Stegostoma tigrinum: one gene and its partner. The protein of the gene in region 2 purifies or fractionates together with the protein of the main gene of each other region. This does not show direct contact. Links are inferred from orthologs where the notes say so. Each region holds a gene or a part of one and is shown on either strand. Other genes may lie near its edges. The genes, in order: bcar3 and bcar1.

Evidence for each region.
Region 1: the proteins of bcar1 (region 2) and bcar3 purify together in Homo sapiens (co-immunoprecipitation; 4 studies listed by BioGRID and IntAct, counting the BioPlex papers as one, with this or other methods). This does not show direct contact. The link is inferred for Stegostoma tigrinum from reciprocal best matches to the Homo sapiens genes BCAR1 and BCAR3.

What each region holds. Positions count from the first base shown.
Region 1 is NC_081361.1:85,035,344-85,043,743, reverse strand, and holds the start of bcar3 (breast cancer anti-estrogen resistance protein 3), read right to left. Parts: upstream 3,628-8,400; 5' UTR 3,466-3,627; intron 1-3,465. UniProt on the Homo sapiens protein: Acts as an adapter protein downstream of several growth factor receptors to promote cell proliferation, migration, and redistribution of actin fibers.
Region 2 is NC_081369.1:19,944,508-19,953,195, reverse strand, and holds the start of bcar1 (breast cancer anti-estrogen resistance protein 1), read right to left. Parts: upstream 3,552-8,688; 5' UTR 3,383-3,551; coding exon 3,032-3,382; intron 1-3,031. UniProt on the Homo sapiens protein: Docking protein which plays a central coordinating role for tyrosine kinase-based signaling related to cell adhesion. Implicated in induction of cell migration and cell branching. Involved in the BCAR3-mediated inhibition of TGFB signaling.

The DNA of each region.
Region 1 (8,400 bases), on a different chromosome or scaffold from region 2:
AGATGAGTGCGGGTGGGAAGTGCAATTTTTAGGCAGACTGGAAGAACACAGAAAGAGCAGCATTCACATTCAAAACATGATCATGCCAATTTGAACAGTTCCCCTTTCAGGATCACTAGCCACAAAATGACATGACCCACTATCACGAGTACCCTTACATACAGATGAGGAAGGACACCACTTTGATTGGGACAACACATCCATCCTAGGACAAGCCAAACAGAGACATGCATGAGAATTCCTAGCAGCATGGCATTCCAACCGGAACTCCATCAACAAACACATTGGCTCCAAATCAATCTACCACCCTCTGAGAAAAAGAACAGGAAATGACATCACCAACCCAAGGAAACCTAAACAGATAAATAGAAAGCAGGACATAACACCAGCGCTTGGTCAGAGGCTCACTGATAATGTTACCTAGAATGGTGACAAAACATCTGAAAACTAACCTTCCAGCTCAGCGAGCAAACTCACATCCAGAATCTCAACCCGAGCTACAAATCTTCTCAAAACTCGCTACTAGTTATTTCAGTCCACACTCAACACTCAGCAATGCTTGAACTTTAATGAGTAATGTAGAGCACCAAGTGAAATATTGAAATAAGCATCAATAAATGTGGAGCTGGAAAAGCACAGCAGGTCAGACAGCATCCAAGGAAAAGGAAAGTCGATGTTTCGGTCCAAAATCCTATGGATGCTGTCTGACCTGCTGTGCTTTACCTTTAATCATTCACAGGATGAGGGCATCAATGGTGAGGCAGCATTTACTGCCCATCCCTTAGAGGGCAGTTAAAAGTCAACCCTATTGCCGTGGGTCTGGAGTAACATGTAGGCGAGACGAGGTAAGGATGGCAGTTTCCTTCCCTAAAAGGACATTAGTGAACCAGATGGGGTTTTTCCAGCAATCAACAATGGGGTCATGGTCATCATAGATTCTTAATTCCAGATATTTTTATTGTATTCAAATTCCACCATCTGCTGTGGCAGCATTTGAACCTGGGTTCCCAGAATGTTATCTGGATTAACAGTCCAACGATAACACCACTAGGCCACTGACCCTCCCATTTACCAGCTCCACATTTATTGATTCCAGCTTTCAGCATCTATAGTCCCTACTGTCTCTAAGTTATTGAAATAAGTCTCCTGTCTATTTGGTTGGAGAGCTTCCTGTTTGTTTTATATGTTCAAAACAAAACCAAGAACCAAAGAGATATTTTTTCCCAATGTAGATAACTCTCCACCTCCTCTTTGCACTCTGGTCATTCTGCATCACTAACTACTTGCATTTGGTGTCAAAGCGAGTTCTTAAGTCACGAGATCACACACCAATTGCAATTCCAATGTAAGTCTGCTGGACTCAGAGATTTCAGGCCATCTCAGTAAAAATTGGCCAATAATGATTGAACAAAATAAATACTAGGGTTAACAGAATAAATATAAGATCTGCCAGGATTATGGATGGTGTTTGCATATTGTGCTTCCATTGATTTTTCTATGAAAACCATAAATTGTTGGATAAACCACAATTGGAGCACTGCATGCAGTTCTGGTCACCACATGTGATTGTGGAAGGATGTGATTGCACTAGTGAGGGTGCAGAGGAGACTTAGTAGGATGCTGTCTGGGTTAGAGGGTCTAAGCTATGGGGAATGATTGGATGAATTGGAGTTGAGAGGAGATCAGACAGATGAGTACAAGATTATGCAAGGCATAGACAAGCCAGATAGCAAGGCATTTTTTCCCCCATTAGTAAAGGGGTCAATAAGTGGTAAAATGCTAAGTGGAGACTCAAAGAGAAATCTTTTCACAGGAGCAGATAGTGGGTGTTTCTAACTTGCAAATTGAAAGGGTGGTTGAATCAGAAACTCAACATTGAAGCAGTATTTAGGTATTGACTTGCATTGCCATAACTTCCAGGGCTATGGGCCAAGAATTGGAAAATGGGATTAGTATAGTCAGATCTTTGTTGACCAGTACAAAGATGACGGGCCAAATGGCCTCATTCTGTGGGGGAAACATCTATGCGTAATCTTGATAGGGTTGTTTAGCAGGACCTCTTATAATAAAAAAATATAAATTTTCAAAGGGGTGTCTTTCCCAGAGAAAGGAAGTGCATGGTAAACATTTTCTTTTCAGTTTGATGCTCACAATGCACTGATATGAATCCAATCAAAACACCACTGTAATAAGAATGACGCAGTGGTTCTGGTTTTCATCCCAACCCCTAGTTGAAGTCAAGGTTTCCTTGAACACTTTTATCCAAGTTCTACATGCATTGTTTGGATGAGACACTAAACTGAGACTCCAGCTGCCCCCTCAGGTAGATGTACCCAGCTCCCACTGCACCATGTTGAAGAAAAGCTGGGTAATGCTCTGAAAAGGCCTGGTCAATATTTCTTCCCCAGTCAAGATGAATGGGGGAAAGAAAAATATTTGCTCTGGGGCATAGACTTGACTACAGCATTGCTCACAATCACTGAGCTCTGTGATGTCCTCGTGTTAGGAGAGGGCTGCATAGCTGAACATTTTCTTCAAACTCAATCCCACTTCATTTAGATATAAATGCTGTGAGGAAGATACTAAATCCAGTTCTAAAACACACAGACATGTTCTTGTGGAACATTCCCCTTATCAAGGTTTTAAGTAAAACGTTCAATTTAAAATAACTGGACAATGAAGGAAGCTTCGGCCAGACAGGACGATTTCAACTGACGAGATTTTCTGCTTCAGTGTTAGCAAGGGACTCTGCAGATAACTTATCCCCGGTTGCATTGTTTAAACAAGCGGATCAGAGATGAGGTGACCTTTAACTCTCAACGCTGGTCCCCAGACAACACGTGAAAGCAGTAAAACATTTGTGGAAGAAACTGCAATTTCCGTTCAATTATCAGGCTGCAAAGTCAGAAACAAGGCAACACTGCGGTCTCAGATAACAAAATGTGGAGCTGGATGAACACAGCAGGCCAAGCAGCATCTCAGGAGCACAAAAGCTGACGTTTCGGGATGAAGGGTCTAAGCACGAAACGTCAGCTTTTGTGCTCCTGAGATGCTGCTTGGCCCGCTGTGTTCATCCAGCCTCACACTTTATTATCTTGGATTCTCTAGCACTGCGGTTTCAGTGAGGAGACCAGTCTGCTGAGAGTTTGGACTGACAGAGAGGAGTGGGGCTGGTTAGGCATTTCACCCGGAGTACCTTCGCCACGGGGCACTCTGCTCGAACATACTCGTTACCGTGTACAGTAATTAGAAACGCAGCGCGCCTACGATACTCTTCACAGCCTTCACCAACACTCCAGGTGAAAAGAGTTTTCTTGACGCCACTCGATTAAAAATTGCACAAAGCCCAACGCGTTCACAATGTTTCCGATCTACTGTTGGACCAGCTTCCTAATCCAATTAAAACAATTGCTGACAATCAGGCAAATACTCCGCGTTTCGCCGAAGGTGGAGTTAATCACCTACCTACCCACAGAGCACAGTGTTCTGCACGGGACAGAGCTGAGCACCTTCTGAATGAGTTGCCTCTGTTTGCCTGGATGGTTGTATCCTGTCTGATCAGGAGAGCCTGGGATCTGTATGCGTGAGAGAGAGAGAGAGAGAGAGGTCAGACTGCAGTGTTGAGAGTCTGAACCATTTCCCAGCAGTGCCAGACCTTAGCTCAGCTCACGAAATAGCCTTCAGCGCAGAAAGATAACACAATCCAATTTTATGGCCGATCAACAGGTAAAACTCGAACGGATGGTGACTAGTTGTAAGTGGTAGCTTATGAACTTTTCACTGTGCTCATTTGAGTACATGTGACAATAAAGCCAATTCAATCATTTATAGAACATTACAGCACAGTACAGGCCCTTCGGCCCTCGATGTTGTGCCGACCTGTCATACCGATCTCAAGCCCATCTAACCTACACTATTCCATGTACGTCCATATGCTTATCCAATGATGACTTAAATGTACCTAAAGTTGGCGAATCTACTACCGTTGCAGGAAAAGCCTTCCATTCCCTTACTATTCTGAGTAAAGAAACTACCTCTGACATCTGTCCTATATCTTTCACCCCTCAATTTAAAGCTATGCCCCCTCGTGCTCACCATCACCATCCGAGGAAAAAGGCTCTCCCTATCCACCCTATCTAACCCTCTGATTATTTTATATGTTTCAATTAAGTCACCTCTCAACCTTCTCCTCTCTAATGAAAACAGCCTCAAGTCCCTCAGCCTTTCCTCATAAGACCTTCCCTCCATACCAGGCAACATCCTAGTAAATCTCCTCTGCACCCTTTCCAAAGCTTCCACATCCTTCTTATAATGCGGTGACCAGAACTGTACACAATACTCCAAGTGCGGCCACACCAGAGTTTTGTACAGCTGCAGCATAACCTCTTGGTTCCAGAACTCAATCCCTCTATTAATAAAAGCTAAAACACTGTATGCCTTCTTAACAGCCCTGTCAACCTGGGTGGCAACTTTCAAGGATCTGTGTACATGGACACAGATCTCTCTGCTCATCTACACTACCAAGAATCTTACCATTAGTCCAGTACTTTGCCTTCCGGTTACTTCTACCAAAGTGCATCACCTCACACTTGTCTGCATTAAACTCCATTTGCCACCTCTCAGCCCAGCTCTGCAGCTTATCTATGTCTCTGCAACCTACAGCATCCTTCGTCACTATCCACAACTCCACCGACCTTAGTGTCGTCTGCAAATTTACTAACCCATCCTTCTACACAGTCATCCAGGTCATCTATAAAAATGACAAACAGCAGTGGACCCAACACCGACCCTTGTGGTACACCACTAGTAACTGGACTCCAGGATGAACATTTCCCATCAACTACCACCCTCTGTCTTCTTTCAGCAAGCCAATTTCCGATCCAAACTGCTATATCTCCCACAATTCCATTCCTCCGGATTTTGTACAATAGCCTATTGTGGGGAACCTTATCAAACGCCTTGCTGAAATCCATATATACCACATCAACCGGTTTACTCTCATCTACCTGTTTGGTCACCTTCTCAAAGAACTCAATAAGGTTTGCGAGGCACGACCTTCCCTTCACAAAACCGTGCTGACTATCCCAATCAATTTATTCTTTTCTAGATGATATAAATCCTATCCCTTATAACCTTTTCCAACACTTTACCAACAACTGAGGTAAGGCTGACTGGTCTATAATTACCAGGGTTGTCTCTACTCTCCTTCTTGAACAGGGGAACCACATTTGCTATCCTCCAGTCATCTGGCACTATCCCTGTAGACAATGAGCTGAGCTAAAGATCAATGCCAAAGGCTCGGCGATCTCCTTCCTAGCTTCCCAGAGGATCCGAGGATAAATCCCATCCGGCCCAGGGGACTTATCTATCTTCACCTTCTGAAGGATTTCTAATACCTCTTCCGTGTAAACTTCAATCCCAGCTAGTCTAGTAGCCTGTATCTCAGTATTCTCCTCGACAACATTGTCGTTTTCTAGAGTGAATACTGTTGAAAAGTATTCATTTAGCGCTTCCCCTATCTTATCTGACTCCACACACAACTTACCACTACTATCCTTGATTGGGCCTAATCTTGCTTTCGTCATTCTTTTATTCCTTAAATACCTATAGAAAGCCTTAGGGTTTAACCCCGATCCTATCCGCCAACAACTTCTCATGTCTCCTCCTGGCTCTTCTGAGCTCTCTCTTTAGGTCTTTCCGGGCTACCTCGTAGCCCTCAAGTGCCCTAACTGAGCCTTCGCATCTCATCCTAATATAAGCCTTCTTCTTCCTCTTGACCAGAGATTCCACGTCCTTCGTAAACCATGGCTCCCGCACTCTACAGCTTCCTCCCTGCCTGACAGGTACATATTTATCTAGGACACACGGGAGCTTTTCCTTGAATAAGCTCCACATTTCTAATGTGCCCATCCCCTGCAGTTTCCTTCCCCATCCTATGCTCCCTAAATCTTGCCTAATCTCATTGTAATTGCCTTTCCCCCAGCTATAACTCTTGCCCAGTGGTATACACCTATCCCTTTCCATCACTAAAGTAAACATAACAGAATTGTGATCACTATCACCAAAGTGCTCACCTACTTCCAAATCTAACACCTGGCTGGGCTCAGTACCCAGTACCAAATCTAATGTGGCTTCGCCCCTTGTTGGCCTATCTACATACTGTGTCAGGAAGCCCTCCTGCACACTCTGGACAAAAACTGACCCATCTATAGTACTGGAACTATAGTGTTCCCAGTCAATATCTGGAAAGTTGAAGTCCCCCATGACAACTACCCCATCTCTCTCACGCCTATCGAGAATCATCTTTGCTATCCTTTCCTCTATATCTCTGGAACTATTCGGAGGCCTATAGAAAACTCCCAACAGGGTGACCTCTCCTTTCCTGTTTCTAATCTCAGCCCATACTACCTCAGTTGACAAGTCCCCAAACATCCTTTCTGCAACTGTAATACAGTCCTTGACCAACAATGCCACACCTCTGCCCCTTTTACCATCTTCTCTGTTCTTACTGAAACATCTAAATCCCGGAACCTGCAACAACCATTCCTGTCCCTGCTCTATCCATGTCTCTGAAATGGCCACAACATTGAAGTCCCAGGTACTAATCCATGCTGCAAGTTCACCCACCTTATTCCGGATACTCCTGGCATTGAAGTAGACACACTTCAAACCAACTTCTTGCTTGCCGGTGCCATCTTGCTTCCCTGAATCTTTATTTCAGACCACCCTACTCTCAACCTTTTCTACAGTCGAACTACAATTTTGGTGCCCATCCCCCTACTGAATTAGTTTAAACCCACCGGAACAGCCTTAGCAAATTTCCCCCCCCCCCCAGGATATCGGTACTCCTCTGGTTCAGGTGAAGACCATCTTCCTTGTAGAGGTCCCACCTACCCCAGAAAGAGTCCCAATTATCCAAGAATCCAAAACCCTCCCTCCTGCACCATCCCTGTAGCTACGTGTTCAACCCCTCTCTCTCCCCTATTCCTCGCCTCACTAGCACGTGGCTCGGGCAACAAACCAGAGACAACAACTCTGTTCATCCTAGCTCTCAGCTTCCATCCTAGCTCCCTGAATTTCTGCCTTAAATCTCCGTCTCTCTTCCTACCTATGTCGTTGGTGCCAATGTGGACCACGACTTGGGGCTGCTCCCCCTCCCCCTTAGGGATCCCAAAAACACGATCAGAGACATCACGCACCCTGGCACCTGGGAGGCAACACACCAACTGTGAGTCTCTCTCGACCCCACAGAACCTCCTATCTTTGCCCCTAACTATGGAGTCCCCAATGACTAATGCTCTGCTCCTCTTCCCCCTTCCCTGCTGAGCAGCAGGGACAGACTCTGTGCCAGAGACCTGTGCCCCACTGCTTTCCCCTGGAAAGTCATCCCCCCCAACAGTATCCAAAATGGTATACTTATTGTTGAGGGGAATGGCCACAGGGGATCCCTGGCCTGCCTGCCGGTTCCCTTTCCGTCCCCTGACCATAACCCATCTGCCTTTTTCCTGTACGAGGAGTGACTACCTCCCTGTAACTCCTCTCAATAACCCCCTCTGCCTCCCGAATGATCCGAAGCTCATCCAGCTCCAGCTCCAGTTCCCTAACGCGGTTTTCAAGGAGCTGGAGTTGGGTGCACTTCCTGCAGATGTAGTCAGCAGGGACACTAGTGGTGACCCTTACCTCCCACATTCTGCAGGAGGAACATTCAACTGCCCTGACCTCCGTTCCCATTATTCTAAATTCCCAAGGCTTAAGAAATAAAGAATAAAAAATAAACTTGTTACCTTACCAATCAGGCACTTTTGATGTTATCCTAAGTCATTGGCCAGAAAGCTGCTACTGATGAACCAATGTGGTGATCTAAAAGGACGCTATTACTGTCTTCCTTCCAGCATTTACTGAAAGTTGTTGAAAAACCTCACGCGAGTTGAATCACAATTCTCTCTTTGGATGTCTCCAGTCAAGTTCTCTTCCCAGCATTCCCAGCCAAAAATCATGGACCAGGGTCATGGCTCTATCTCCTGCTTTGGGTGTGGCCACTGTCTTCACTTTCCCTGGTTTCCAGGTGTGAAAATAAAGTGAGGTCGCCAACTGTCTGATCACTGTCCAGGGCATTTTTGTGAACTGCAAGTTCTTTTGTGATGCCCCACGTGGTCAAAGAGTCCAGGGCTCAAATAAGGAGAACTGGCTATTTCAGCAAGTTCATTGAGGGTGGCAACATGATCATTCCTAAAGCCAGGCACCAGTAGCGGTCAGGCAGGAAAAAAAAAACTGAGCTGGATGATTAGCAATGGTCATACCAAATGGCAGAACCAACCAAAAGGACCAAATGGTCTCCTACTTCTACTTTCAATATTTCAATCAAAGTACTTGTCTTTCTGATTTAATGGCTCCTAATAA
Region 2 (8,688 bases):
TGGGAGCGTTGGTCCAGGATTTTCTAAAGGTTAACTTGCAGGTAGAGTCCATAATTAAGAAAGTGAATGTAATGTTGTCGTTTATCTCAAGAGGGTTGGAATATAAAAGCAATGATGTGCTTCTGAGGCTTTATAAAGCTCTAGTTCGGCCCCATTTAGAATGCTGAGTCTAATTTTGGGCCCCACACCTCAGGAAGGACATATTAGCCCTGGAGCATGTCCAGCAGAGATTCACATGAATGATCCCTGGAATGGTAGGTTTAACATATGATGAACGGCTAAGGATCCTGGGATTGTACTCAGAGTTTAGAAGGTTGAGGGGAGATCTGATAGAAACTTACAAGATAATGTATGGTTTAGAAGGGGTGGACACCAGGAAGTTGTTTCCATTAGGCGGGGAGGCTAGGACCCGTGGGCACAGCCTTAAAATTAGAGGGGGTAAATTTAAAACTGAAATTTGATGACATTTCTTCAGTCAGAGAGTGGTGGGCTTGTGGAATTCATTGCCACGGAGTGCAGTGGAGGCTGGGACGTTAGAAGCCTTCAAGGCAGAGATCGACAGATTCTTGATCTCAGAAGGAATCAAAGGCTACGGGGAAAGTGCAGGGAAGTTGAGTTGAAATGCCCATCAGTCATGATTTAAATGGTGGAGTGGACTTGATGGGCTGAATGGCCTTACTTCCACTCCTACGTCTTACGGTCATCTCAGGCTGGTCTAGCATTTATTTCCAATCCCTAACAGCCTTGCTAGGGCCATTTCAGAGGACAGCTAAGACTAACATACTGCTGTGGCTCTGCAGTCACATCTAGTCCAGACCAGGTAGGGGGCAATAAATTCCCTTCTCCAAAGGACATGAGTAAACTAGATGGGTTTTTGCAACATTGGCTTCATGGTCATCATTAGGCTAGCTTTTCAATTTCAGGATTTTTTTTAAAAATTGAATTCGAATTTTACTATCTGCCATGGTGGCATTCAAATCCATGCCCTCTGAACTTCAACGTGCAGTTCAGTAACATTACCAATACACACAACCTTCCCAGTAAATAAAGTTTATGAAGCAGTTTATCTAATACTGGAACAGACAGACAGACTATCTGAACCGAATAATTCCCATTCAAACTGCTGTTCTTGTACAAACTAAAGCCTTACATGATTATTTACAACTGTGTTTTATTCAATTTCCCCCAAAAGTATTTGTTTCTGTTGATGATCTTTGTTTATTTTTTCATAAAAAGAGAGACTTGGCAAAATTCTACAGAGTTCCAATGGTGGTCCCTGTCACCGATCTATCCTCTCAGAGTCGGTGAAGCTACTCACATTTGGTACAATTTGCCAGCACTGCATTTATATTCACTCAAGCAAACGGTATAGTTTTCACAGCACAGATGCTGAGTCATTACTCACAGACAACAAACACGGTCAGCAAAAAAAAACGTTTTAACTTAAATCAGCTCTCCGTTTATTGCATTTCATTTGATTTCAGTTCCAGTGAGGTGCACTGATCTAAAAACCAACAAGTGAAATAGAAGGAATCAGATCCTGTTCCTTTGCTACTATATAATTACTCTAAGCACCCCACCTAGGTACTGCGATAACCCTGTTATTTGATACATATTGGCAGTGCACGCCGATCATGCTGTTCCACATTAAAGTCAGTTCAGCTAAGACATTAGTAAAAATGTCTGATTTGGCCCTTGTACCAACACAGCCTGAAAACAGTAAAGTGAAACCATCCAAATGGTCATTTTGAACTTTTATTACAGTAATTATAATTTGGGCTCATATCATATGCTGCATTTCTGTTGTCACACGCACATTACAAGCTTTGTACCCAGGTTTTAGTCTATTAAGCAACAGGAAAGTAATTTTGTACCATGCCAAGACGAGTTTCTTTTGACTTGTGCAGCTATATTTTAAGCTGTTGAACTATAGGTAACCGTCTGCTAGCAGAGACTGACAGGGGCAGCAGGCACATGGAACAGTACAACCTGAAAGTGCCCCTTCAAGTCACTTACTATCCAGATCTCAGAAGTAACTCCCTGTTTCTTCTTCTTTGCCCAATAAAACAAGCTGAAATTCTCCAGCTAACAGTATCACGAGTCCATTTTACCGCAGGACTACAGTAATTCTCAAAAGGCAACTTATCACCACCTTCTCAACGGCAACAAGACCCCAAAATACATTGTTCATAACCAGGGTTCCAGTAGCTGACCTTCAGGCCAGTGAATGCGGCCGATGTGTACACAGCCTTGACGGAATTGAATCTCTGTAAGGCTTATTCCATGTTCCCAGATTTGCTTATTTTCTCTCGCTCTGTTATTGTGTTCGAAGAAAACAGCCCGAAGACAGAGAGGGGCAGATGGATACTGGGAACATATCAACATAGAAATGATGAACTATGTTCGAGTGAAAAGTTTCTGGTGAAATTTGTTCTCCTACTTTTGGGGGTCGGAGGGTGGCGTTGATAGTCAAAGAGTAGGATCAGGTGGTAATACTCAGCTATGAAGTTTCACACCCACACTCGGAGCATCAATAAACAATTTGTAATTCTTGCGTAGTGCATTTGCGAACAAACGAACAAGATTTAACCAATTCCTCCAATTCAGAAAAAAACCCGGTTTGCCAGTAAACGCTGCATTTAACAACCTGAAAGACAGTATTTACCACACAGACGAATCTGAATCTGGATTCTCTTACAGTTGCAAATACTCTGCAGGATAAAGTGCACACGAAAATAAATGCCCACTCTCCTCTATCATAAAAAGGAGCCTCGTAAGTACTGGTCCGGGGCTTGGGACCGGTCTCGCAGGAGAGGGAACGGTCGTGCACAGAGTTCCAGCTAGCAGCCTGGGGCCCCGGCCTCCACACTCCCCATTCAAACAGAACCAGCTCCAACTAACATCGCGGCACCATCACCCACCCGAGCTTTGCAAACAGCGGCAGCCGATTCGGGGGGAGCCACTGGCCAGCGAGGCTGCACTTCACTGCAGGCACGGGAAGGGGACTTTGTGAACGTGAAGAGATACTCACAGGCACAGACATCTCCGGCTCTTCCTCCGCACCGGGCGATCTGAAAGGGATGTCGTGCTGATCAGTTTCCTCCCAGCGTTGGGAAGGCGGCTGGGAATAACTGCCTGATTTTTCGGGAAGGCGATCAGGTGGATCCCATCGTCTCCCTCTGCCACCCAGGACTGTCAGCACCCTGAAGTCGCAGGTTCCGTTTGCTTGCAGCTCTGTAATCTTCAGTTCAGTGACAGCCTCTGGCAGGGAACTGCGCTCCTGGTGAATTTCCACTCGCTTTCCCACCCCCCAACCCAGCCTCCTGTCAGTCTGTGTGTGTGTCTCTCTCTGGCTCTTCCCCAGCCCTGGGCTCCTACACATTAACTTGCACACTGTCTCGTACTGAATCCTTGTTCTAACGCCCAGACCCACCACCCCACTACTACTTCTTCTTCTTCTTCTTCTTCTTCTTTTCTTCTCTTCTTTTCTTTCTTTCTCTCTCTCCTCCTCTTTCTCTTCCTCCCCTCAATCGCCTGCAATGACGAAATCGGCAATTTCACCTTAAAGGCACCGCCAACCGTGCAGAGCGCAGGCGCTGGGAAACCGACTCAATCCAGTGGGTAAAGAGTTTCCATTAAAGGGACCATACCCCTACTTTCTCCAGGAATGGCCTGCCTCGCACTTTTCTGCTAAAAGGAACAGTGACAGCAGCTGGGGCTCTGTCAGTTTGGTTCGATCAGCTGTTTGCAAAAGCCCGCACACAAAACAGAGAGCCTCCGTTCACTGGAGTGCACCTCCCCATGAGCTCAGTGCAAACAGTTACACGTCGGCAATAGAGAGTCGCTGAGCCTGTCTACACAGGGGGTTATTGCCGGAGCTTAATCTCCTTCACTACTCTTTGACATGAAGCAGCGCAGGACAGAGCAGTGCGGAGCTACACAGCGTCCCTGTGCAGCCTGAACCACCGTGTTCACAGGAGCGCCATGGTTTTTGAGGTTATCTTGAAAGAAACTCATAACCAAGTGCTGCATCTTTACGTTCTATTAATAACATGGGATTAGCAGTGTCCTGGAATTCGACACAGTTTCCGGGCTCAAACATTTCATTGCCTTGTCTGCTATAGAGCTGATTCTCTCAATTTCAGTTTGTCATTGAAACTGAGTGTGGTTCTATCCTCGTTTTACTTTCTCCCACTCTCTGCACGACCACCAAAGGTTCATAGCCAATGATTTATGCATTTTTTAAAGATATTTACCTCAAAGTTATAAACGCCTATGAATTTCAGTAGGTAATGGGATGGAAATAAAGACAGAAAATAGAAAGTGTTATTCCAGGTTGATTAATTGCTGTTTTACAGATATTACTTTTTGTTCATTAACCGAATTCAGAAATTTTGATAGCACGTGACTTAAACAGAAACTTGCACGTATTAGTAAACACGTATTTGCTGTCCTGTGTACATTCGGTGGTGGAGGAAAGATTCTGTAGGAGGAGCCTTGGTGAGTTACTGCTGAATGGTACACACTGTTATCGTTGTGCAGCGAAGGCGAAGGGAGTGAATGTTGTAAACTGGTGAATGGGGTGTCAATGAAGCAGACTGCTTTGGCCTGGATGGTGTGAAGCACGCTCTTGATATGAGTCTTGTGAATCGTGCATTGATGGTGAGTAACTTACTGAAGAAAATATAGTATCTAAACTGCTCCTGTAGTCACAGTATTTAATCTGGCAGTGCAGATCAATTTCTGGTCAATGATAACCCCAAGGATGTTGATTCAACAATGATAATACCACTGAATATCAAGGAGCAAGATTCTCTCTTCATGGAAATGCTCATGGCCTTGCACTTAGTTGGTACAAAATTTCCTTGCCATATATTAGTCCAATTCAGTATGCTGTCCAAATCTTGAGATACATGGACACAGGCTGCTTCAATATCTGAGGAGTTGCAAATGGTCGTGAACATTGTGCAATCACCAGTGAACAACCCAATTGCTAACATAATGATGGAGGGCAAGGTCATTGATGAAGCAGCTAAAAATGGTTGGGTCTAGGACACCACTCTGAGGAACTCCTTCAGATTCTTTCTAGGGCTGAAATGCTCATTTGGACGTCCAGTGCAGACCTGATTGGCCAAATAACTTTGTGTGTGCGTGTGTGTGTGTGTGTGTGTGTGTTCACTCCTATCTGTTTCTCATTCCTGGATGTCTTCTTGCTTAATTATTTTTAACTTCCTGTATTTGGCTCAGCTTCGCTGTTGGTACATCCCACAAGTCTTTTTGACTGTCCACTTCTTGCCTGCTAAAGTTCCTGTTTTCTCACCAGTTCACCCAATTCCCTATCGGTTTCTGACTCTTCTACTTATTTTCCTGTTTGCTAGCTAGTGTCTTTTGCTGCTCTTCAAGCTCTTGACAACACACAAAGTACTTCGAAAGTATAGTCATTGTTGCAATACAGGAAATACTGAAGCCAATTCTCAGATGGAACCACAATCAACAATAAAATAAATAAGTTTGAGAAGGACCACATTAATTAGTCCAATACACAAAAGTTGTCAACACTTTATTAAACTGCATGTTATATGGGAAATGCCATATAACATTGACAGGAACAAACAACTATGAATCTGCAGTTCTCTAACGCCTCCAATCTATTTTCCTTGCCGCTTGTCTAGGTTTCTTTAGAGGCTAATCAATAAAGATTGATTGAGCAAAAATATGAAGATTCAATAACTCAAATATTGTTGTGTCTACTCAGATGGTAGAAGACAAAATAGATAGACTGCAGTCCTCACCATCAAATGATTCCTTTGTTCCTTAAAGAGATGGGAAACAGGGACAGATAAGAGGGAAATGGGAATAAATGATTAGATCCGTGTAAGCTTAAGGATAAGAAGCTTATACAGATAAGGATCAAAACAAACCATTAAAGACACTTGGTCTAACTCTTCCTGGCACATCTATGTGATAAATATTCATTCTGAGATCGCTTGGCATCAATATTACTTGTAAATTAATATATTTGACTCTACCTTGGAGGAGCTTAGGTGACCTCATTCTGCACAACAGTGTTTTGATCATATAGCCTATAATTACATTTGCACCCAAATATCAATTCATTCTAGCTGCTGTACTCACAGGTAATAAACCACATCATTGGAATCAATGAGAATATGGAATGAAATGGTACTGCAATTTTCTGGTTTTACTGCAACAAAAGGTTTCCTGTATTTAAGGCACTTCCTGGCCAGTGATGTGGTCTTCTGAACTCAATATTTTTGCCTTTCTCCTCTCATTTAGTCACATGGCTGGGATGATGGTGGCACAGTAGCTCAGTAGTTAGTACTGCTGCTTCACAGCACAAGGGACGCAGGATTGATTCCAACATCGGGCAACTGTCTGTGTGGAGTTTACACGTTCACAATGTCTGTGTGGTTTTCCTCCAGGTGCTCCAGTTTCCTCCCATAGTCCAAAGATATTCAAGCTAGGTGGATTGGCCGTGCTAAATTGCCCCGTGATGTGCAAGCCAAGTGGGTTAGACATGGGAAATGCAGGTTTATCGGGATTGGGTAGGGGTAGTGGATATGGGTGGGGGGCTTTTCGGAGGGTTGGTGTGGACTCGATGGGCCAAATAGCCTGCTTCCACACTGTAGGGATTCTATGATGGCTTTGTAGTGTACCTACCTGTGACAAACCTTGCAAATTTTTACACTTACTGCATGCAGTGAAATTTGTTTCTCAGGTATTGCAGTTGTCCATAAAACATGAAATAAGAAATTAGTTGTGCTGTGCCTCCATTGTCTTTAAAGGGCGGACATTTGTTAATGATGTGGCTCCATTTGTGATAGATCCCTTAATCACTAACAACAAGGTTAAAAATCTAACCATTGACACTCATAACAATTACAAGAGGAACATATGAAAAGCTTGCACACAAGTTTTAATGATTGAAACATGTTGCAAAGTGCTGAAGCACTTCTAGAGTCTTTAGTCCATCATTAGAAGCTTGTGTGTTCAAATCTTGAAACACAATCTGCTCCATTACTTTATTAAGTGTATCAAACATTCCAAGTCTAATTCTCCTCACCCTGATTTCACAGAACTCTATTCAAGTATTAAGCTAGGACATGACATAGTGTACAGTGACTTTCCGTGCCAAGCACCTCAAGCCTCGCTGTGACATTGTAACTGTTCTGAAACAGTTTGGAAACAAACTTCAACAATGGCCAATAAATAAGCAAAGATCATGCAGCCCCATGTGAAACTGTGATTGCCCATCCACAGTCCATTGGAAGAATGCTTGCATTACACTGAATAGGTCCTTATAAGGCTTTATATAATAATGTAATATACGAGATATGCCAGATACTTCAGTAAAGACGAAGTTCCCATAGCCTTACTAGCCCATAGGGCTGCTGTCTCGCTAAACGAACATAACTGGCGGTGGTTTAACCTCAGGATCAGTCAAGAGAAGAGGTAGAGACAAAGAGTGCTCCATGAAAACTTCAGTCAGTGCAGGGATTGAACCCACACTGTTGGATTTTCCAGGCATTAACTAAAAAAAAAGCTAATAGCTAGCATAACAAGGAATGATTATAAGGTAATAAAGCAGTTAGCTGGTATAAAAACTGCATGAGGGTCTTGGCATTTGTGTCAGAGCGAAGCATGTACTTGATGGGCATTTAATGTTGAACAATGATGATCTTTAGTGATTACTTTCTTTATTCCAATCATATTACTGCAAATATGGAGAAAAAAAGGCTTGTCCCTTTCTGAAGAAGGGTCTCGACCCGAAATGTCAACTATCCTGCTCCTCTGATGCTGCCTGGCCTGCTGTGTTCCTCCAGCTCCACACTGTGTTATCTCTTGCTTCAAAATAGTGCCATGGAATATCTTACATCCACCTAAGAGGGCAAGTGGGATCTTAGGGTCTAACATCCTCATCTAAATAATGGCATCGCTAACACAATAGCACTGCTTCAGAAAAGAGCCAATGCAACAGCCTAGATTTTCCTGTGGGCCCTGAAAACAACAACATACTGACTGAGATGAGAGTTCTGTCATTGTTAAACAAACCATTTCATGACAAATACTTACCCTTTGACTATACAGGCTATGGTTTAAAGTTGATAATTATGAAAGTTTCTTACTTATTAATTTATTGCATTGCTATACAGAGGACACATTATAAAGACCAGCAGCACATGGTGTACATCCTACTTATTGGTCTAGGCTACAAATGATTAGTAACAAAAGCATTGGCAGTGTTCCTACCTCTAAGGCAGGCAACGTGGGTTCAAGTCCCACCTGTTCTAGGGGTGTGTCATAACATCCCTGAATAGGTTGATTCGAGAATATCTAAAAGTGATCTTTGGCCTGCAAATCTGATGTAATTCATTTTCCAGAAATATTCTGCTAATACACGAGAAAAGGAATTGTGTGATCTATTGTTATGGCTTCTCCATCTCAGACAGACCCTTGGGATTGAGGATGACTTGCTTCCACACTGTTTTAATGGATTCAGGGATAGCTGATGAACCCAGTGTGCTAGCTGCAACTTCAGGAGGTGCTGGTAGGATCAAGAGATGAGATGGGTGAGTATGGGTTATGTGCTCCCTTCAGTCTGTTGTATTACCTTTGCATCATTACTGATGACATTTCTCATTGTTTGCTACTACCCAGCATTGAATC